Lepisosteus oculatus: one gene and its partners. The protein of the gene in region 1 binds, or shares a complex with, the protein of each later gene. Links are inferred from orthologs where the notes say so. Each region holds a gene or a part of one and is shown on either strand. Other genes may lie near its edges.

Region 1 (6,951 bases):
CTTCACTGCCTCTTTCCTCTTCTCCTTCTTCTCATTGTTCAGCTCTGCCTTCAGCTCAAAGATCTCCCCTGAAACGGGAGAAAAGCACGGCGTCAGCACAGCGCACTGCCCTCTCAGCTCCAGTAACTAATCCATCCATTGTCTAACCACTTCTCCCAGCTCGGGGTCGCAGGGGGGCCAGGATCTCTCCTGGCAAAGCAACGGGTTCAAACACAGGGGGGACATACAAACTCCACACAGACAGCACCCCAGGTCTGAAACTGAAGCCAGTGAGGCAGCAATGCTAACCGGAGTCTTGCTCACTGCTCCATCACTCACAGCAGATCCCACTGATGTTTTAGTGTTGAAACCTATAGAAATCCATTCTTAAAACACAAACAAAATAACCCCATAAACATCAAAATCCTCACTTCTACACCAACAACCTCGTGATTTGGAACTGCAGAACCTTCTAACATGTTAACATGTTGCCGGGACCGAGGAGCTACAAGTGCATAGACCTACATAAATACATTCATACACTATAATAATAACACACTATGCACTCATATCACCACTGAGCTCTTAACACAGAGGAGGCCAAATCTTGTCCTGGAGCTGCAGTTTCACAGGTCTTACAGGTCATACTTATACGTTCAGTTTGTAAGCACCTGGCATTTTGATCGCTATAACTGATTTGGTCCCTTTATGCCAGAAATGGCAAAATACGATCCCTTATAGCTACGGGGAGGGGAAGTTGGTATCTTCATTAGAGAAATGATCACTAAACTACTACAAATCAGCTGTGTCAGTGGTCAAAATGAAAGTGCTCAAAGTGTTTGAGGGAGGCTAGATGATTTGAGGCAGGCCCATAAAAACTGTGGGATTGTAGCTCTCCGAGACCAAGGCTGCCCAGGCCTGTTGTGTGATCTCTTTCCGTACACCTGGTGAGCTACTCTCTTTCAAATGTTCTGGTCTGTTTCTAGAGTCCAGTCCTGACATTAGCCCAACTTCATAGCAAAACAATCAGTATTATATATATTTAAAGCAAAGACATGATCGTCAATTTCAGAAAGCAACCACCAGCTGCAAACCCAACAGTCCAAGATCGATATTGTGAACATTTACAAATATACCGAGGAAAACACAGATGCCCTATGTAAGAAAATCCAACAGCAACCGTTATCCTAAAACAATTCCACTATTTTAATGTCTGTAGTAGAACAGTGACTTTATTCTATAGAACTTTCATTGAATCTGTCCTGTCGTTCACTGCAGTAGCCTGGTTTAGTAACCTGAATACATGCAACAAAAACACACTGAGCGGGACAGTGAAGGCAGCCAGCAAAGTTGTCAGTACACAACAGCTACAGCTGTCAGACATCTTAATCAGACAAGTAGTGCAGAAGGCCAATATAATCACTGACTGTCATGACCCCTTGCTCAGTGAATCTGAACTCCTTCCATCTGGGTGTCGATTTAGACTGTCTGGATTCAAGAGCAATAGAACTAAGTCATCTTTTGCTCCTACAGCTATCAACCGGACAGTTATCATTTGGACAACTGATTATGAATTTCACTTTATTTATAATACTTTCTCATCGTACATGTACCTTATTTGTCAATGGGTTCATGTTGTGTTAAATATATGCTGTAAACGTATCATATCTTTTACCTGCAAAGGCAAAGTTCCAATCTGAGACGGAGTAAAATAAATAGACCATCTCGTGTCATCCATCAAACTCAAACACTCCCCCGAGAAGACTCACCTTTCTTGTTTGTGGTGAAGTACTTCGAATCCGTCATGACTGCAGTTCTTCAGAACAGCTGCGAAAAGGAAAAATGGAACACAGAGTACGTTACTTTGCAGAGAAACACCGGTGTATGCTGGATTTAGAAGAGCTTACTGTATGTTTTCTCTGGGACAGACATAAGCAAAAATACACTGATAATGTTACAAATACTGGAAAATTTTCATTTCCAGTCCCATATAAGGAAATACCTGAATCATAACACTATACAGTACATTTACAGCTCAGACATTGGAATTTGTGTTGGCATCGAACTGACCTATGGAGTGAACCACTTCACCGAGTTCACTGAAGGATATAATTTTTCACCTTGAAGGAAATCTTTCAGCCCAGAAAAACAATATTATCCTTAATCTAAGGGATTTAAACTAAAAACCTGTAACAAACATTGCTATTTTAAATATAAACAATGGTATATTAATCTGAAAATGTTGAACTGTTAAAATATATTTATTCCTTCAACATATTCCTGAGAGGAACCACTTCAATACTCCCGCAATTAAGACCTCAGACTCACGAGAGTACAAACTGTTCTGGTTACTGTCTAGAAGTATACAAATAACCGACTGTAGTCTTAAACCAACTAGAACAGCTGTACCAGTCGGAGAAAACCAGTTAACGGGTCTGGTTAGGGATGCCTAAAACAACTACAACACACTGGATTTAAATAGGCGGTGTGGCAATAATGCACATTCTCAGTAAGGCCTTTACGGGGGAAAAAAAACGCCCAGCCTATTCAGAAAGTATTACAGTTCAAAGTCAAAATCGAGATTTTATAGTCAATTAAAATTAATACGCAATCGCTATCGGTCTCCCTTGTCGAGCGCTGCATTTAGGCTTGACCTTATCAACCGACGCCTGTGAATTACATGTATGGAAATGTGGATCAAGCTCAAGGAAGGACGCCAGAAATGTTTATTTAATTTTCTCAGTTCTTATTGCATGTCCGCTTTTCCAGCAAATGCCGGAGAGCCCTGGACTGCGCAGCCCGGCTTGGGTGTGACCCGGCTCCCGCATCTGCCTGTCCGGGAAAAAACGGTGCGGTGGACTGGGCCTCCCCGCCGGTACCGAGGAGACGGGGACGCGACGCTCACCTGCTCTGGGTGATGGCGAACAGAAGAGCCGAGCGAAGAGGTGACAGAGGAAGCAAGATGCTGGTATCACGGACCAAGGGCGAGAGAGAGAGACACACACACAGGGAGAGAAACCGCACTCCCGGAAAAACAAGACGAGAGGCGGAGGAGGAGGGGAGAGACGCCGGAAGGAGCCAGCAGGGATTCCGGAAGGAGCCGACCGAACGATTTAAGAGGCGGACAGCAAAACATCTGGAGGCTCAGCGAGGGTGGGGAGATTTGCGAGCTGCAAAGAGGAGTTAGTTTGTCTGAAAGCCTCTTATTAATCCAGTTTGTTTTGAGGGGAACTGTTTTAACTACTGGGGATGCGCAGTGATCATTGTTGCGCCTAACCAAGAACATCAACAACAAACCACAAGGACAGGTTATCGACCTTTTTTTTTTTTAATTCATGTTAGTTGTGCCCATCTGGGATTTCAGCACTCCGCCTGCAGAGATCAAGGGCACCTCGGCGCTATGGCCGAGCGCGGAGCCCACCTCAGCTCGGCCTCGCTGGAGCGGGACGACAGGCCCTCTATCTTCGAGGTGCTCGCCCAGGACTCGCTCATGGCCTCGGTCAGACCAGCCTTGCAGCACGCAGTAAAGGTGGTGAACCAGCTCATTCATTTCCTGCTACAGCATCTGGTGTTGCTTCTGCGCCTTCTGCAATTTGTTCATAAAATGCTCATAAAGCTGAAATTTATTAGAAGCGTGAATGCAAAGGTTAATGACTAAATGTAAGGACCCACTTAACTGAAACACGTTTTGTTTTCCTAAGAGGGTTCTGTGACATTTACCTTGCAAAACAGACTTGCCTCCAGCATTTCTAGCCTCTTGAGGCCATGATCATACACAGGTTTTTACTATCCCTCTCCGATAAAGACAGGAAAAATAAACTGAACAGAGACAGAACTGCATTCTTGAACATGATTAATAGGCTTTGAAATTAATCAACCAGGGGGAGGCACGGTGGCACAGCGCTCAGCATTACCGCCTCACAGCGCTGGTGCTCTGGGTTCAATTCAGGACCTGGGGTGCTGTCTGTGTGGAGTTTGCATGTTCTCCCCATGTTTATGTGGGTGTCTTCCAGAGGCTCTGGCTTTCCCCCACAGTCCAAACAGAGAGGGGTAGGGAAAAACTGGCGCTAGTGTGAGTGGCTGTCTACCCTGGCATGGACTGGCGTCCCGTCCAGGGTGTACCTTGCCTTGCACCTGTTGCTTGCTGGGATAGGCTCTGGCTCCCCTGCCACCCCGCTTTGGATAAAGCGATGAGAAAATGATGGGCTGGATTAATCCACAATCGCCCATTATTCTTACAGTGCCCCAGAGAGGAAACGTGTGGAGTTCTGCTGTACTGTCCCTCTTGCCTGTGTGGAAGTTCTGGATGTCCACTGGGGACGAGGGGCGGGGGTGGGCGCACCTGCTTGAGCTTCCCTGCACCGAGTGATCCGAGTCCCGTTCCTCCTCCAGGTGCTGGCGGAGTCCAGCCCGGCCCGGTACGGCGGCCTGTGGCGCTGGTTCGACGAGATCTACACCGCCCTGGACCTGCTGCTGCAGCACCACTTCCTGTCCCGGACCAGCGCCTCGTTCTCCGAGAACTTCTACAGCCTGAAGCGCGTGCCCCCCGGGGCCGGCGGGCGGCTGGCCAGCCTGGGCCTGCCCCGGCGGCAGCGCTGGCGCTCCCTGCTGCTGCTGGCGCTGCTGCCGTACCTGCGGGCCAAGCTGGAGGGGCTCCTGGGCCGGCTGAGGGAGGAGGACGACTTCTCCATCCGCGTGCCGCGCTCGGCCTGCGGCCGGCTCTGCAGGGCCTTCCTGGCCGCCTGGCCCTTCTGCAGCATGGCGTGGGAGGGCTGGGTCTTCTGCCAGCAGCTGCTCTACGTCTTCGGCCGCGCGCGGCACCACTCCCCCCTGCTGCGGCTGGCCGGGGTCCGGCTGGCCCGGCTCACGGCCCAAGACATCCGAGCCCTGGACCTCAAGCCCACAGCGGCGTCCACCTCCGCCTCCCCTCTCAGGTGCGCACCGATCCTACATCTCGCAGAGGTCCTCCCGGGGCCCTGCTGTCCTCTCCTGGCTTTGCCCCAGTGCCGAGAGGGCCGGCTGTGCACTGGTGCAGATCCAGTCTAGAGGAATCCGTGACAGCACAAAACTGGACAACTGCGCATCTTTTCTGCATCGTGCCATGAGTGCTTCACCAAAGTTAATAGGGCATTCGTGTCCTGGAAAGCTTAGTGCCAGGGTACAAAAAAAATGTTATCAAAGCTGTCTAAAATACCCACTATGTGCCTGCAGGGAATTATTCATTTATACCCAGTAAACATTTCAAGAGTGAGCAGAAGTGTCGAGGCAAGTCTTCGCTGCATGATCCCTGCGCACTTCAGAAGTTCAGTTTGGACGCGTTTGTGGAAATGTTAGCACGCCCAGACTGGCAGTGTGGTGCAGAGTTTAACACCGGTGCCGAGGCCCTGCGTTCAATTCCAGACCTGGGGTGCAGTCTATGTGGGTTTCCTCCCATGGTCCAAAGACTTACTGGTAGGTTAACTGGCCTCTAGGGGAAAAGTGGCCTGGTGTGAGTGTGTGCGTGCCCCACAATGGACTGGCGTCCCTTCCAGGGTGTGGCCTGCCTCGTGGCTGTTGCTTGCTGGGCTCGGCTCCGGTTCTCCTGCCGACCTGACTTGGATGAAGCGGTTAGAAAAGAAGGGGTTGGTGGATATAACCAATCCCGCTCCGGAAAAAAGAATTCCCTGCGGAACAGGTCAGCGCTTAAACGAGGCCCCGCAGTAATAACTTCATTTCGTTTTCCTTTCCTAGTGCTGGGGAGAAGCTGCGCCATTTCCTCAGCACCGCGGTGGGGGGGGTGGCCGTGTCCATCTCCACCGGGCTGTCCGTCGGGGTCTTCTTCCTGCAGTTCCTGGACTGGTGGTATTCCTCGGAGAACCAGGGCACCATCAAGGCCCTGACCTCCCTGCCCACCCCTCCCCCTCCTCTGCACCTGGATCAGCCAGAACTTCCTGTGGGCAAGAGCGAGTGTCCTCTGTGCCGCAAAGCCCGCACCAACGACACCGCGCTGGCCACCTCCGGCTACGTCTTCTGCTACCGCTGTGCTTTCGCCTACGTGAAGGCCCACCAGCGCTGCCCGCTGACCGGGTACCCTACTGAACTGCAGCACCTGATCAAGCTCTACTGCCCCGAAGGGTAGACCGCTGGAGAAGCGTCAGTCAAATACTTCACAGGGACATAGCAACAGGGCAGACAGCCAAATCGACGTGTGATGAAAATGGAGCCTGGCAGCTTCGTTTCTGAGGCACAAATTCTAATGTAACAAGAAAGCGCTTTTCCCAGTAGCTTTGGTAAATTTAAACTGGTCATAAAGGACGGCAGATTGCCACGGGGTACCCAGGCCTGTGCCAGACTAATAAGAAAGCTATACACATCCATTCTCATCTCCCATCATGTCATGGTTCCTACACTGTAGCTGAAGAGCACCGTACAAGTCTGTGGATACTTCAGTGTACGTCTTTGTCAAATAATTGCTGGTAAAAAAAAAGTTTCAACCTGCAGTAAATGGTTAATATAATGCTATTAAAGTTTGAGAGTATTCTGTAATTAAGGGAGGCAAGGGCTCATTGTCAATAGGAAAGCATTTCACTTGTTGGTTCCCCTTAGAGGCCTACCAGAGAGCTACACAGGTGCCCTTGTGAAGGGACTAGGTGAACAGGAGCAGGGAGTATTTAAGCTAGCCTATGCAAACTTTGTGCAAATAAGGATTACTTCCCTAGTTTTGCACTTCCACCCCCTTTCCCCCCTAGGCTTTGTTGTAGAATCAGCCCCACTGGCAAGACCCCCCCTACCCTTTCACCCAGGACAAGGACAGGTCTAAACTCACACAGCTTCCAGTGGTGGGATTAGAGTTCAAAGAGATGGGAGGAAACAAAAACCCCCATATTCTATAGGACACCACTCCTTTGAATGAATGAAAAAGGGGAAAATAGGTAGTAGTTACAGTTTTATTCCCCATTACACCGTGAAGCAGAACTTGTACATCTGAACCAT
Region 2 (7,478 bases), on another chromosome or scaffold:
GAAGCATTGCACAAGCTGTGATTGTGAAAATCGACTCATGCTTGCAACAGTTTAAAAATTATATTTAAACTACACATGACAGTCATGTGTGTCCTTTAAATTAACATTTTTCTGTCTTATGCTTTGGGCTTAAAGGTTATATTGTGCCTCAGGGGAAAAAAAACGGCATCTCCACGATTGACTGTGTCCTTCTCCAGCTGGTTTTTTAATCCCGTTCAACTCATTGAGTTGTAAAGACCTGGAGGAATTTCACTTTGGACAGGTGGGAGAGTAACTGTGTTGAAGCCATTTGGAAATCATCTGGAATGAGAAAGCTCACGGCCAGGTCTACAGCCCTCAAGGACCAGAGATGACTTCCTGGCCTCTCCTCCCGGAACTGGAGCAATGAGCCTTTAACTTGGGTGCGGAAATGGAGGATGTGAGCAATGATTTTATGAGACTCGTGCTGGACTGTAGTTCTCCAGGGCCTGGATTGTGTGCGGCTGTCTGTCCACCAGTATAGTGAGTGTCCAGAGTTTGCTGGGGATTAATGAGTGGGATTACACTGTCTTCAGTTGAAAGTGGCAAGATTCGAGAGATGGGATCAAAGATCGAAGTCCAGGAAGCTCTTCAGGCCCCTAGCCAGAGGCTAATGATTTCTCAAATGGCTTCTTTCTACCGTTTGCCTGGAAAAGTGTTTCAAGATCGAAAGGTGTCTTTCCATAGACATTTTCCTGGAAACTAGTTTGTCTCATCCTTGATCCATTTAAACTGCAGGTCGCAGACAGAGCACTAGAAGGAGGAGATTTTGGAGATTGATCCCAGGCTGGAGTGTTGCTTAAACGAACAGGTTTCAGTATATAATTCACTTAAGAAAAAAAACAGGGGAACAAGTTATAGAGTGCTGAATTCATAAGGTGTGTAGTAATGTCAAAAAGGGATTCATGCCTGTCAGTCGGTACACACTATATAGTGGAAGCCTTGTGCAGGGGTTCAAGCCTGAGTTTTGTCACCCACTGTCCGTAGCCAGAGCTCTCTATAAGTGGAGGAGCAGAAGTGCCGGATCTCTGCCAAGGACAGGGCGGGATTAGTCTACCAGTGATGCGGTTTTGGATCTTGCCTGTTTTTGTGATAATCAAATAAAACCAATGAGATTTTTTTGCACAAATATATCAAGTAGTGGAGACATAGAGTTATTTTCAGTGGATAGCATAATGAAATGAGTAATAAATCCTTGAATTATGTGTGCTGTATAAACCAAATAACTGGGAAACATTAAGCACAAATGCCAAGACTGATCTGCAAACTGAGACACCCTGAAAGTATTGTCAGCAATTATGACACTAACAATGAAAACACAAATTTAAGGAATTAGGAAAGATATACAGTGGCCTGCACACAGTGCAGAGGTCATCAGGCTCTTGCTCATGAATGTTACAATGATGTTACAGCACACAAAGCCCCTCTGTGAACACCAGCCACGAATAATCGCGCACAAGGGATTCTGTGCGAACAGCCGGTACAGTTAAACCCTGAAAAAAGCCACAAACGAGCAAGAACAGACTCATCCCCTTCGAGATGAGAAAGGTGCCCCTCCTCCGGCAAACTCCCTCGGCAGCCCCACGGGAATCTTGAAAAGCCGGATTTTTGGAATTCCACGGACCTCGGTGTCAGCCCCCGGAATGCCTGCAAGCCGCTGCAGAGAGGGGTGACCAGTCAGACTCGTGGGAAGCTTCTCGTCTAGCAAGGCCTTGGGTGACTCTGCCTCAGCTGCAGCGGTGCGACACCAGACTGCCCCAGCACTGCACCAGAACTGACCGCGCTCTTATGTACTTGCAGACCAGAGCACGGGTTTCAGAAAAACCTCGGTCCACACCTCACTCACAAACTATTTAACTCGAGGCAAGACAGGAGTCTTTTGGCTCCCTCCCAGCAGAAGCTCCAACGATGCTGTCAGCTGTTTGGTTTGCAATCGCGCTGCTGATAGCTAGGTTGAAGTTTTGGCTTGCAGTCAGCCAAGGTCGAAACGCTTTATAGATTAATTGTCAGATCTCTGAAGAGGACAGGGAGGGATGAGTCTACCTGCGATGCCTTTGTGTAGCACCTTTCACCCCATAGCACCTGACACAGAGGTTAGCCCCATTACACAACAGATCAAGTGCAGAAGTGAGGAACCGCTTCAGTTATAAGCAAGAAATTGCTTGGGATACAATTTGGGAAGCCAGATTTTGCAAAGCCCAAAGTGGGATTGAACCAAGATGTCATTTTTAATAACAAGGAGGGGTCATGATGTGTACATACAGTACTGTAAACCGCAGAGTTCCACTGTAATTAGTGGGGAAAATACTATAAGCCATATGTAATGTTCTGTACTCTATTCTAAAACATCAGCGAGTTTCAATTCCCATTTGAAATCCAGACAGAAGTTTAATTCTGATGGAAACTCTACACTGTATGTAGGTTGTGATGTGTATTGCTTTTGCAGATTTTCAGAGGCATGTATTGAGTACAGCAGACTTCTACTGCACTGCCACAGACTGACACCTACAGTAGCTGAGCGAGACACACTTGAGATGAAAGAACAAACGACACGTGTTCTGTATCATTCCTGTGTTGAAACGGAGCTCCTGTCACAAGATTGGCTAGATGTTCCGCAAGTCGATTACACGATGTAGCTCCTTAGCAGCGGAAGATGTGCGTGGAGTGTTATTTAAGTAAAAACGCGTGGAATACAGGCTGGGGAAAAAGAAAGAGGCCCCTCTTTTTCCTACGGGTTGACTGACTCCAGCATCTGACATATATCTGATAGTTCTGGAGTTATGTGCATTATAGCTGGTATCTGTAAGAGAGGATCCGACTGCTTTAGAACTGATATACTATCTTGCAGTACTGCAGACCGCATTCTCCTAACAACAAGGGCGCACTGTAAGCTCTCTCACTCTCTTACAGATATCCAAGAAAAGCTGCTTGTTTTTCCGCGCAGCTTTTCAGAAAAAGTTAAAAACTATAACAAAACGTGCGTACAGTGGTTCTTCGCATTGCTTTATTTATAGTTTATGAAGGTCATTCAAAACTAGGTCTTCGTTTTTCATCATTTAAATTCCTGAAAGCGGCCGGGTCCCTCCCGGTTCGACAGGAGCGCCGCAGATGTCGCGCACTGTGGCGTAAATGATGTCCCGGCTGCCCTGATGCCTTGTGACAATCCGCTCCAGAGTCGGTGATTTGAAATCATTAGGATCCGCGTTTGATGTGCTGTAAAATAAAAACGCCCTGGCAGGGAAAAGAAGACTCCGTGAAGACGCCCGGTTGGTGGAGCAGTTGAGCGCGGTTAGGTTAGCGCAGACAGCTGATTTGGAGATGAACTAAGCGCCCCTTTTCTACGTGAAAAGATAATCATTATGTATTGTATATTCCATATTACATATTCAAATAAAAAAAATACATACAATTCAGAGTAAATAAAAATACAATGTTCTGCTGTAGGCTATATTTACTAACATTTAGGAAGCATTTGGGACACGCCAGCTTGAATTTTCTGTACAGTCCAGTTTTTTTTTCAAAAACATCCTGAAAGTTACAGCCCATGTTTCAAACTGAAAACAACAATGAGGTCACGTCAAATGGGATCCTCTGCTGTTTTGACGTACAACATACTTCTCTGTTCTCGGGGAACTGACTTGTCCAGAACCCAGTTTGTTTGGTGGTGTAGACGGTCCTACGTTTTGCTCATTTGAAAATAACATTAACCTTTCCTCCTGACCTCCGGCTGACTCGTCCTGTTCTGTCAGGCTGACACGCCTCCCAAACTTGAGAACCAAATTCCTAGTTGACAAGACAATCTTTAACACCCCACCAAAAAAAAAACAAAAAAAAAAACAACCAGTTATAGAGATGGCAAATAGTTTTATGTCGCAAAGCCATGACTGAAAAATAATTCATAGTTCTGCTAAGTGCTTCTTCGTAATTTACTATTTTTGCTCGGATTATTTAATGTTTACATTTAATCTGCACAGTAAGGGGTATAATAAGAGAGAGGTGAACTATTAATATTCTTGTTCTTAATTTCATCCGATTATATTCTTGGTTCGGCAGTCGATGAGTGAGATGTGACTGCTTTTCTGACTGTATATATAGATTTAAAAATGAACTAAGTCGATACAGCTTCGACATTCTGAGGAAGAGAGGTCGTGTTGTTGTTCCTGAAGTCTGAGTCACTCCAAGCGACGGACGGGGTGCCCTTTGTTTGTCTTTACTTGAACTGTAGGAAATGCGGCCTTGGTTTAATTTTAGCACACACAAAATCAGGGGAAAAGTCAGGTTTCCGCTACACGAGTTCACCTCGCCCGCTCGGCCCTCCCCTCCAAGCGACTCTCAGCCTCCGCTGCGCTTTAAAAAAAAAAAGGCACCACGTCAACGCCAAGTACATTATCCGCCCGATTTACATAAATAACACCGCCCATGTGGGGCGAAACGTGATAATCCATCGACTGTGGGGCTGGCTTCGGAAAAGGGAGGAAGAAAAAGGGAAGAAAAGTTTGGGACAGTGACTTTAACATCGCGGAGAGTGCAGGAGCTGCGGTGCCGTAGAACCCGGAGCTTCCCGGACTCTTTCTTCCCCTTTCTTTCTGTGGGTTTCACAAGCATGGATGCTTTGAAGTCCGCGGGTAGGGCCATCATACGGAGTCCGAGTCTGGCTAAACAGTCATGGGGAGTCGGCAAACACAAAAGTAAGTTTTTTTTTGTGTGCGTGTGGCGCTTTGCTTTGCTTTTGGGAATCCCTGCTACGTTGTTGCTAGCCGCGGGGAACGATACGTTGTATTCGTCTGCGTGTTCTTGTGTGCGTGTGTGTGTTTTGCTCTTGCCGGCGAAGGTTTAAAGACAAAACGCAGGCAGGGGCATACATGCTCATTAAAAACGCTGGTCTGTGAACTCCTCGGTTGTTAGGGCACGTTTCGGTCTGCAACGAGGCGAGGTGTTTTGGGGTCAGAAGTAAATCTGAATTGTTGGTGCAACTCTTGCAAAATCCGTGTGGCGGGGTGCCGCTTTGATAGTGACCGTAGAGCTGGGGGATATTTTTGTGATTGAATCCGCTGGCTCCCAGCCTGAAGCCGAAAGGGTTTTTTTTTTTTTTGCAAGCGTGGGTTCCCAGTGGTAGCTGAATTGCGGGCTCCTGAGCGTTTGTTCAGGTAGCAGTAAGCCCACGCCGTGCTGGGGGAGGTTCACTGATGACTCGGGTCGTCCCGTTAAAGTTGGTCGCCTCCGAGTCTGTGCTCCAGAAGCTAACGGTTAACCTTTTGTACACCATAAAAATAGGTACCTTGGCTACTTAAGGTTATCGAAAACCAAAACTACTAGCACGGAGAGATTTGCCAGTCTATCAGGCAGTTTGCTTTTTTTTTTTAGCCTACACTTTGACGTCTTCATAGCTGGGACGCGTATCATGAAGATTTACTCTTCTATCCTTTCTCATAAACCTTTGGCTGTCCATAAGTTGTTAGCATGGATACGATAATAAATTTCCCAATGGCTTTCACAGTCTTTAATTGCGCCTGTCGTAGGCAGTTGTTTGGCGAAGCCCAAGATTAGTTGCTAGCGGCATCTCGGGTGGGGGAGCGAGGGGAAAACAGTATCTGGGCATGAAATGGGATTCACGGAGACTGGGCTTGTGGAAGAATTGATGTGTGTTTGTATGCGTTGATTTTAAAGTACACAGCCCTTGTAGCGCTGCTGGAAGACGAATGTTTGTATTGGAAGACGCGCTGGGTAGCGGGTGCATGGAGACCAATTTTAAAGCCGCAAACATCGGAGACGCCTTCACCGAACCCAAAAGTTTATTGGCTATGGAGAGTTGACTCCAGCTCTTATATACGAGGCCTAGTCACAGCGCGATATTATCCCACGTGTGGTGTTTGATTTATGCTTTTCGGCAGGTGTGAAGGGTGAGGTGACGCCCTATCATTGCCGTATAGAAGCCTAGCAGAAATCATGCGCGAAAAGTGCGGCCTACGTCAGAGTTAGACGGAAAAGAAATGTGATGTTGAAGAAGAACAAATATAACTTGGATTGGGGAAAAATGGAATCCCTTTGCTGGAAACGGCACTGCATAAAATGCGTGGCGACTTTGGCTTTTGTCGAAGTTCAAGGTGGAGTTTAGCAGTTAACTTGTCACGTCTGACAAGCAGGACTCGTGTGGTCTTATATAGATATTCCTGCAGCGCGGGTGAAACATTTTGTAAGGTTTTCAAACGTTTACTTGTTTATTTTAACGTGAGGGGTTCGTGTTTCCCAGGGCAGGAAAGAGCGCACCAGTCATGGCACTGGGATGAGACATACTCGTATCGACTAACTTGGTAGGTGAAGGAGTAGGTGGAACTATTTCCCCATGCAATCTCGGACCAGAATTTCTAGACTATCGCCCCAGTATGGCAGTGTGATGAGGGGGAGACACTGCAGTAGGAGGTGCTACCCTTCATATTAAACTGAAGCTCTGACTTGAGTATTGGAACTGAAGCTCTCTTGGGCATTAAAGATCTCATGGCAGAGTTTGTAAAAGTAAGTTGTTAACCCTAGTGTCTGGGCTAAATTACATTTTGTTCTTGCATGGTCTGGCCTACCTGAAGTTCACCCTTAACTTTCTCACTGCTCCACCTGTTTTTGCTGTGTGTCACACAGGTGGGGCCACACATCGGTGCTGGCTGAAGTGGGTCCCCTCCTATATGTGAAGCACTTGGGGGGGAATTTGGGGATCTGCTTTTCTTCAGAATGGCTTTGTTTGCCAGCTGCATTACACCTGCAACGAATGTGCTGTACGGTTTTGATGTAAAAACATAGAAACGGTCAATAATACATATACGCTTCTTATTTAAAAACAATTAGCAGACAGGGGTGGCAGTGCTGGTGACCTTTTGACTGGATCTGCTGGTGAGTATAAGGAGAATAAGCTTAATTAGCTTAAGTCTTAATTTTAAACTATTTTGGCAGCAGAGGTACATGTGCAGTGCACTCGAGACCTGCTGGTAACAAGAGTGTAATGCGGTGTCTGTGTTTTTTGTACTGGAAGGGAAACAATGGTCACTGTCACATAGCTCAAGGTCCTGGTTCCTGATTGGTCCTGAGGACACTATTCTAATTAACATTCTTTAAGCTTCTTATTCTCCTAATTATGCCTACCCACAGTCAGACCTTTCACTAGGCAATTATCCTTTTTCATTAACCTTGTCTTAATGTGTGTCTTGTTTATCTTTATTGGAGATTGGTGTGCAGGGCTTCTCAGAACAACTACAATGGGGGGCAGCCTTTTCCTTGAGTCAAGGGCAGAGTGGACATGTGGCAAATGCAGAGATGATTTGGTCTTTGCCTTAATACATTGGCGAGGTTTTTATCCAGAGCAGTGTTCTTGAGCTTTATGCACAATCAAAGTAAATTGGGAACTAGTATCCGGGCAGGAGCCAATAATTGAAAAGGACAAAAAAAAGCATCTGTAGCAGTTCAAGAATGGA
Region 3 (7,663 bases), on another chromosome or scaffold:
CAAGTGGTAAACACCTTCCTGACCTTTTTTGTTATCATTTTTATTTTCCTTTGCTCATCTATGTTGTTGAATCTGATACTATAGGATCTTGAGCAATCAGCAACCAAATGAGCTAAGAGTTTCCTGTTGTTTGTAGCCTTTCTTCTGTTTTAATTTCTTTCTTGTTGCCTAATTTCTTTCTTGAGGAAAAAGGCCTAGCTAAGGATCAGACATATAGGGAAACAGGTGTTTCTTCTGCCTCACATATGGGTCAGCCTAGGTAAGCTTGCTGCTCCACTTTGACTCCTTTCCTGTTTCTGAAGATGGTGAATAAAGGGCTTTCTTGCTGCCTAAACACTGCTAATGCCGTTGGTGCAAATACTCCTTCAGGTTGGGACAATTTCTCAGTTCTCTGCATTTCTTTGCCCCATCTGTATGTTGAATCTGTCTTGATACTAATATCAGATTTTGATAAGGGCAAGTATTGCTTTTTAGTTCTTTTTATATATAGGTACAGTACAGTATACAGCACTGTCCATATGGAGCAAACAGGAATATAACAACCAGGAATATACAAAAAAAGGCCGCAGTCAAAATCTTTTGACTCTTTAAGTGTATCATCACTCTTGCAAAATACAGATAACATTCTATAAGTACAAGTTAAAACTGTTATGTTTGCTGTACAACATCTGCAATAAGAAACATTTACTTTTGTCATGTAACTTAATCAAAACCCTCAAACAGTGAAAATATAGTAGCTATTGGAACACATTGTTCATAATGGTTTTCCCAGAATTGTTGTGCATCTGCTTCTATGACAAGAATTTCTGAATAGTGTCATGTAATTTAAATGAGCTTTTGGCAAAATATGATCAGTCTGTAAATTATGTCTTTAGTTTTGCAAACCTTGCCATCATTGTAAACACAAAATCAATTTAATCAGGGGTTTGATTGAAAAAGAATGAACAATAATTTGAAGAGGAATAGACTCAAGATGGCTAAACATGAGCTTCACTTCATTAGGTATGAAGCAGCGTTTTTGAGCAATGCATTTCCAGGCAAAATGTCTCACAATGTCTTAGATTAAAGGCTTTTAAAATACCTCCAATTTGTTAAAAGTGAAGTGATTGAGTGAGTGAAACCACACACAGCATCACGAATAAGAACAAAATAAAAATAAGGAATAAATAAAATAGAGAAACAAAGCATTTATCCAGAGACACCTATTTCTTGGCACTTTAAACAAGTGTTGAAAACTGGGCTGTATCAATGGTGAAAGGCTGGAACATTTGCTGAGATGCAGTGTTTGACTACAGCGGTATTCCAAGTTACTTTTGAGCTCACAAGAACAAGAACTTGGACTGAAACAAGTGATGGGCAACCAACCAGAAAGAAGCAAATTGCAAACGCATTCTGCTTCAAGCAAATTGCCCTTTGCATGCCTTTTTCCTTCAGAAAGAGGAGAAATTATGTACAGTAAATCATATTTTGAGTCTCCAATGAAAGTTGTAAATCACTTTGAGTCACTAGTCAGAGCAATTTCTCATTGAAATCGAATGTTTTGCTTTTAATTCCTTAAGTTGTTCAAGTTCTAAAGGAATTTAGTTAAGAAAAGCTTGCCTTACTAATGGGAGATCATGATACAAACATTACATGATGCTATGATCCTTGAAATCTAGGCCTATTGGTGTCGTAGCTGATCTACAGTACAGACCCTCAAACTATCTTAAATCCCATTAGAAGGATGTATCTCCTAGATTCCAGAGAGACCAGTATATCAAAGGGAATGTCAAACAGTTCTGATGGGTGTCTGCCAAAATCTGTGTACCAGAGAAAAAAGTTCCTAATTTTAGAATATCTCACTAGATCACAATGGTTGTTAACCTACAGTGTGAAAAGACATGAAGATATGTGAACATTATCATATAGGTCACTGATAAGAGTATGCTCACTGGCGTCCAAACTTTGAAAAGATAGTTAAACCCAATTTAAATACCTATGTATCCGCATCAGCTTTTTAATGCATCCATTAAAAGGAACACACATAGTGAAGTATCAGTTTTCTGACGGACCCTTGATGAGCTGCTAATTGTGGTGCCATAACAACCTGGCAAATCTAGCACATACATGATTAGTTGTGCACTCCTGCTGGCGGAGCTCTATCAAGGCTTATTATTCCAATACTGATGGTCCTTTATGAGGTTCCATAAAAATACGCAGCAAGCCAGCAAGCATGAGCACTTACAGTCACACAGACCCATAATGAGGGTGTGAGCAGACTAACACGTCTTACTGCATGCTTGCAGAGTGATACATCATTCAACGTTCATGCAAGGAGAGGGGGGACAAAAACTTATACTGCCTTAGGCTGACAAACAAAAGACTGCATCAAGAACAACACAATTACGACATCAAAGGATTTAATTTGGCATATGTTATATGAATGTACGCTACTATACATAGAAAACCACATATGAACTAAAGCCCAATAGAATACATGAATAATAAATACGACCCATGTCAAAGAAATCCTTACCTTGTACCTTTATCGCCCATTGTCAGGCTTGCTGTGTTGCTGAGAGCAGCCTTCAGTCTTAGTTCCAATGTTCAAGGAGGAGACTAGTCTGCTATACGGAAAAGGATGCAAGAGGTCTTGCTTATGTTTAGGCAGCCACTTAGAATGTGCACGTAAATGCAAGTGGAGCTCCTGTTAAACTGCTTTTTTGTGCTGTTAACACTCCTCTCCCTGTGAATGAAATTAAACAGCGTCCCTGTTGTTCTTTTAAAATATAAATTGTTAGAATTTCCTCTTGATCTTCCTCTTGCTCCCCTTCGTCTAGTATATATGGCTAGTATTGTTGAATTGCAGTGTAAATCCAGATACGCAGATTAAAGCTTCTGTGCAGCCAGAATCCTCCAGATTACTCTTATTAATGTGAATCCTCCATCAGAGTTCCGTTCTAGCTCTTTGCCTCCCTTTCTCTGCTGCTCTGTATCCCTCCCTCTCTCACTCAATCTGTGTGTGTGTGTGTGGTGTCTGCGTGTGTGCCGGTCAGGATGAAACATCCCTCTCATTCAAGCCACAGCCTCCCTTGCTCAGCTTAAAACTACAATGCTGAGGAAAGGCAGCAAAAAAAAAAAATACAGCAGTCACATGCTGACCTGACTGCAGGTCAGTGAAGGAAAAGTGCTGGATGGGATTAACTTGAGTTTTGATATTCACACCATTGTATTAAATCCATGGTCTGTTGTGTCACAGTGCATCTCTCCAACAATAAATTGGGCTCACCTATCTCTGTCATTTCAATTGATAGTGTGCCAAACAGACTGCATGACTGCAAGTCACCTTGAGGATGTAGGGGATAATGTCATGGAAGATGATACACATCATATGCATAGTTTGCAAACCTCTGTGAGAAATATGTTAATTGACTAGCGCATAGCACACCAGGGGAATCGCATAGCACAAACCTTTACAGGCTGAATATCATGGTTTTCACCATGACCATGATTACCAGCAGTAAGACAGCTATTCAAAGACGAGATTAAATTAAAGTTTGATTTCTCCGATTGAGTCTGATTAAACCGTATCAGTTTTAAGTGTAATTTCTTTAAACAAACAGCAAAGAAAAAAGGCAGCAAGCTACTGTATAGGCTAAGGAACAGAAGGTCACTCTGGATTAAAGTATCAAATGCATACGGACCAAGGACCTTACACTGTGGAGAAAGAATGAATGGGGCTGCCATGAACACCCCTTGGAGGCCATGTAATGTGTCTGGTTCATCACTCAAACATCACAATTGCTGTGTGTTCTATGGTCCATGGTTACAGATACATAAATGCTTGAATTTAGCAGAAATTTAACTTCATGTATTGATGCATCATATAGGAATGTGTGTGTGTGTGTGTGTGTGGGGGGGGGGGGGGGTGTGAGCTATCCATAAGTTCAATGCAACAAGTCACAGTTATCTAATATAGATTATGAATTCATGTGATGTAGGCATGACACAGATAATGAAAAGATACCCATTTGATACAATTGGTTTATAAAACTAAACACAGTACCATGCCAAATATAATTTTACTCTATTATCTAGTGCAGATCCATCGTTTTATATTTATTTTAATTTAATATTCAAAACCCTGTGGGGGAAAAAAACAAGCACAAAACATTCAATTTAATTGAGTATCTTTTTTTCTTGTGCACCAACCTTCACAGAGCAGCAACCCACACAGAACTATTGTCAGCGTGCAAAGCAGCTTTTCTACCGTAAAGACAGTGCCTTCTTGAGCAATCAATATTTTCACTAATTCCAGCAAACAAAGCTGTCAAACACAGGTTTTGTGTTCCGTAAGTTGTCATTTCTTTCTCAGCACTCATTTTCAGTCAATGACAAAGACTTTGACCTTGGATTTTTGCAGCAGTGAATGTACTGTGTAGAGAGTTTTTCAAAACGCCCTAGGCAAGCACAAAAAAAGTGCTACAGCATTGTATGACACATAGAATATGACCCACTCACGTTAAAATGTACACCAGCATTGTCATAAGCTAGGAAGCCTTAAGAAGTGCCACATTTTCCTTAATACTTCTTTTTTCAGCCTCACATCTAGATCCTACAGTAAACCATAACATAATTTATAAATATGATTTCCACGCAAACAGCATCTTTTCTCATTTGCAATTAGATTATGCCACACAAAATTCATAAAAAGCTTCCAAAACTCATCTGTTGCGTGGCAATTCTCTGTTCACAGGTAGCTCTACATTTCAAGTGTTGGCTCAATCCCCTTTCATCAAAGGGTGAAACTGTGAGCCATGCTTTCTTTTTGGCATTCAGATTACATTTTAATCTTAGCAGGTCATTGAAATTCCCAGTGGTCAAGTGTGCATTGGAATATTGGGCTTTGTGTCTCCCAAACTTAAATCCAGATTTGTCCTCCATATACAATACAATATAACATCCCAGAGCATATATTCAATTCTCTTTGTATATTTTTAATAATTATATATTTTCACTATCCTAATAATCGTAGACTTTCACATCACTTGCAACAGGTGTTTTTAGAAATGTAACAGTACAGTAAGTCATAGCTCACTGCCCTGCCCAGTTCAGTTAAAAAACCTGTTACTCCAGATGCTTTTCCACAGTTGTAGAGCAATGAATATCAGCTCTCACATATTGATCATAAGAGAGATTTTAAAGACCCAGAACTGCACAATAATCAAAACAGATTGACACAGGTGGCGTTGTCATTGACCTCCAGATATCAGCATCAGTTGTTATCTTTAAAACATCTGGAGTATATTTACCTGATGTCACAACCTCCTTACGTTTTTATCAGCAGGTATATTTGACTTAACAGATTTAGCTTTGAATGTACAGCCACACATTGATCAGTGTGTTCAAGAAAACTGTAATTTACATACAGTATGTAAGTGGGGAAAATGGCTATGAATACTAGGTTTGTTTTTAATCGTCAAGGAAAAGCAGTCACAAAAGATGCATATTGACATCTGCAGTCAGAAAGGCCAAGATTATTACACTGGGGAGAAAAGATTTTTATCTTTTATCAATTTAACAAGAAAGCAAGCTGAAGTCTTTCATTTTAAATGCCTACAGTGGGAGACAGTGAGATACAGATCAATGACAAGATGACTTTCAGGTCAACATCCAAGTACTGTGTTTAAAAATTATAATCCTTTCTCTACGTATTAAGCCAACAAAGAAAAATTCTTGCTCTGTAAATGATTCCCAGTATTAACAAAATCATATCTCAGATACACTCTGGTAAAAAAAATTGAGACTCGTTTTTGACACTATAATGGGTCATTCACTTTAAAAACAAAAACAATTTTTTTATGAAATACAACATCTTAGAGCAATCATGGTCTTTATTGCGTGTCAACAAGATACAGATTATATCCTATGGTCTTTATTTACTAAAGAAACAAACATAAAGAAGAAAGTGCAAATAGGTGTGCTGCCTAATTAATATCAAAATAATCGCAGTATAATGCTTCCTTTGCAGAATAATCTTTTTCAAATGCCCTTGTACCTCATACACTATAAAACCAAGCTGTAATTTTAACAAAATATCAGCAATAAATTCAGAGAATGAAAAGGCAGCAGTAGCAGCATGAACAATGGACAGTTCATGATAATATAATTTTATTTATAACCCTTTTTCTTCAAACTGAAACCTCTGTGCAATAGCACACAACATATGCAAAAGGCAGGTCTGAGTTTCGGGAGTGTCAACAGTGACAGTCTCTAATGGGACTGTGCAGTGAGCACCACAGACGTGGCGATGCACACGAGAGGCCCTGGCACTCACAGTTGAGTTCGTTCTTCGGCAGAGCTGTAGTACAAGTTTTGGTTCCTGTTATTCATTCTTTCCTCGGAGTCCTCTCTACTTTTAAGGGCTGATTTGCTCGTCTCAGTATCATTTCAGAGTGCAGCCCATCTGCTCAGGAAAGATTCCCTTCAAATCCTGGTGGCTACTTGCAGTCTGCTGGTTGAGGAAAATCGCTCTCATGTGTGTCAACATGTTTGAGAGGATTCTTTTAACGACAGACAGCGCGGCCCCAGTCCGTCAACCACAGAAGTAATCATGATACTGAGAACCCGTTTGGGAGTTCTCAGGAACAGCAGAAACCTTTAGTATAAAGCTGGTTTTCAGTTTATTTTCTTTATAAAACAATTAAGGTAACATTTCCTGTCCTACATGTGCCTCAGTTTACTGGATTTGTAAAACACCCTCTATCTCTGAAGTGTGATTGTGGTTTCGTCTTTGCACTTTATTGCAAATTCTTAAAAAATGCTCTGTGTGGTACGACTTGCCCCCATCCAGAAGCAAAGAAAACTTGTTTATAGGTTGAAGATCTACAAAATAACAAAATACAAAATCGCTAAATGGATGTGTGGCTTTCCTGTTGGGCACAGGGCTGTACCACAAAAGTGCTGGAGCTTTTCAGTTATGTTAATTACCCTTTTCAGAGCCATTAAAGATATTCAGCATGCTGGAGTGCAGTCAGGCATGATAATGATATTATATACAATCTACAAGTAACAATCCTTCTTTGTCTGGTGTAGTGCTCAGCAATGTTTTGCAAGGATGTTACAATAAATGATAAATATTCCCAACTGAATATGTTTTTAACATTTAGGGTACCATGATGCAAGAACAACAATTCTTAAAAAAGAGTTTTTGTTTTTAACAAAGTGTATTAAAATTCAAGATATCAGAAACATTAATATCTAACCTTTATGCTACAAAAACAAAGAAACATTCCTATAATGTAGTTTTGCTCTCTTGTGTAGTTTTAGTTTTTACAGAAATATCAATGGATTCATGTAAAACATAACAATATTCACATTATGGCTGATAGGGGTAGTTTTCAAGATACAATCATATATAATTGTAATCACTGTAATATGCAAAGGAAAAAGTTCACTGAAGAAGGCTCCACAGCCGAAACATTGTTTTTTTTCTTCTCTTTTCAGCATGGAATAAACCTTTACTTGTTCCTTTGCAGCTTACACATGCTGAGGCAGCTCTCTACTTGAATCGCTGTAATATATCTTGTTTATAAGTATACATCTTTGATACCCATGGCTTAAATGGAACCAAGTAAAAAAATGAAAAAAAAACAATATAAAAACAAAATATTGATAATATTAA

The links.
Region 2: the proteins of ap2b1 (region 1) and ldlrap1b are in contact, whole or in part, in a crystal structure (PDB 2G30), measured with the Homo sapiens proteins. The link is inferred for Lepisosteus oculatus from reciprocal best matches to the Homo sapiens genes AP2B1 and LDLRAP1. Residues at the interface, in NP_001273.1 of Homo sapiens: Arg834, Gln835, Phe837, Leu838, Trp841, Glu849, Gln851, Ile876, Ala877, Arg879, Val881, Glu882, Gln884, Met886, Tyr888, Glu902, Arg904, Ser915; in NP_056442.2 of Homo sapiens: Asp253, Leu255, Asp256, Ala258, Phe259, Ser260, Leu262, Ala263, Gln264, Arg266, Thr267.
Region 3: the proteins of ap2b1 (region 1) and beta-arrestin-1 are in contact, whole or in part, in a crystal structure (PDB 2IV8), measured with the Homo sapiens proteins. The link is inferred for Lepisosteus oculatus from reciprocal best matches to the Homo sapiens genes AP2B1 and ARRB1. Residues at the interface, in NP_001273.1 of Homo sapiens: Arg834, Gln835, Phe837, Leu838, Trp841, Lys842, Asn846, Glu849, Ile876, Ala877, Arg879, Val881, Glu882, Gln884, Tyr888, Glu902, Arg904; in NP_004032.2 of Homo sapiens: Asp384, Asp385, Val387, Phe388, Glu389, Phe391, Ala392, Arg393, Arg395, Leu396.

The regions. Positions count from the first base shown.
Region 1 is NC_090721.1:1,320,153-1,327,103, forward strand, and holds the start of ap2b1 (AP-2 complex subunit beta), read right to left. Parts: upstream 3,040-6,951; 5' UTR 2,885-3,039; intron 1,807-2,884; 5' UTR 1,786-1,806; coding exon 1,749-1,785; intron 69-1,748; coding exon 1-68. Other genes in the region: pex12 (peroxisome assembly protein 12), read left to right, coding at 3,380-3,508, 4,372-4,913, 5,710-6,097. UniProt on the Homo sapiens protein: Component of the adaptor protein complex 2 (AP-2). Adaptor protein complexes function in protein transport via transport vesicles in different membrane traffic pathways.
Region 2 is NC_090706.1:3,839,287-3,846,764, reverse strand, and holds the start of ldlrap1b (low density lipoprotein receptor adapter protein 1b), read left to right. Parts: upstream 1-4,380; 5' UTR 4,381-4,621; coding exon 4,622-4,706; intron 4,707-7,478. UniProt on the Homo sapiens protein: Adapter protein (clathrin-associated sorting protein (CLASP)) required for efficient endocytosis of the LDL receptor (LDLR) in polarized cells such as hepatocytes and lymphocytes, but not in non-polarized cells (fibroblasts).
Region 3 is NC_090700.1:2,564,636-2,572,298, forward strand, and holds the start of beta-arrestin-1, read right to left. Parts: upstream 3,069-7,663; 5' UTR 2,536-3,068; coding exon 2,516-2,535; intron 1-2,515. UniProt on the Homo sapiens protein: Functions in regulating agonist-mediated G-protein coupled receptor (GPCR) signaling by mediating both receptor desensitization and resensitization processes.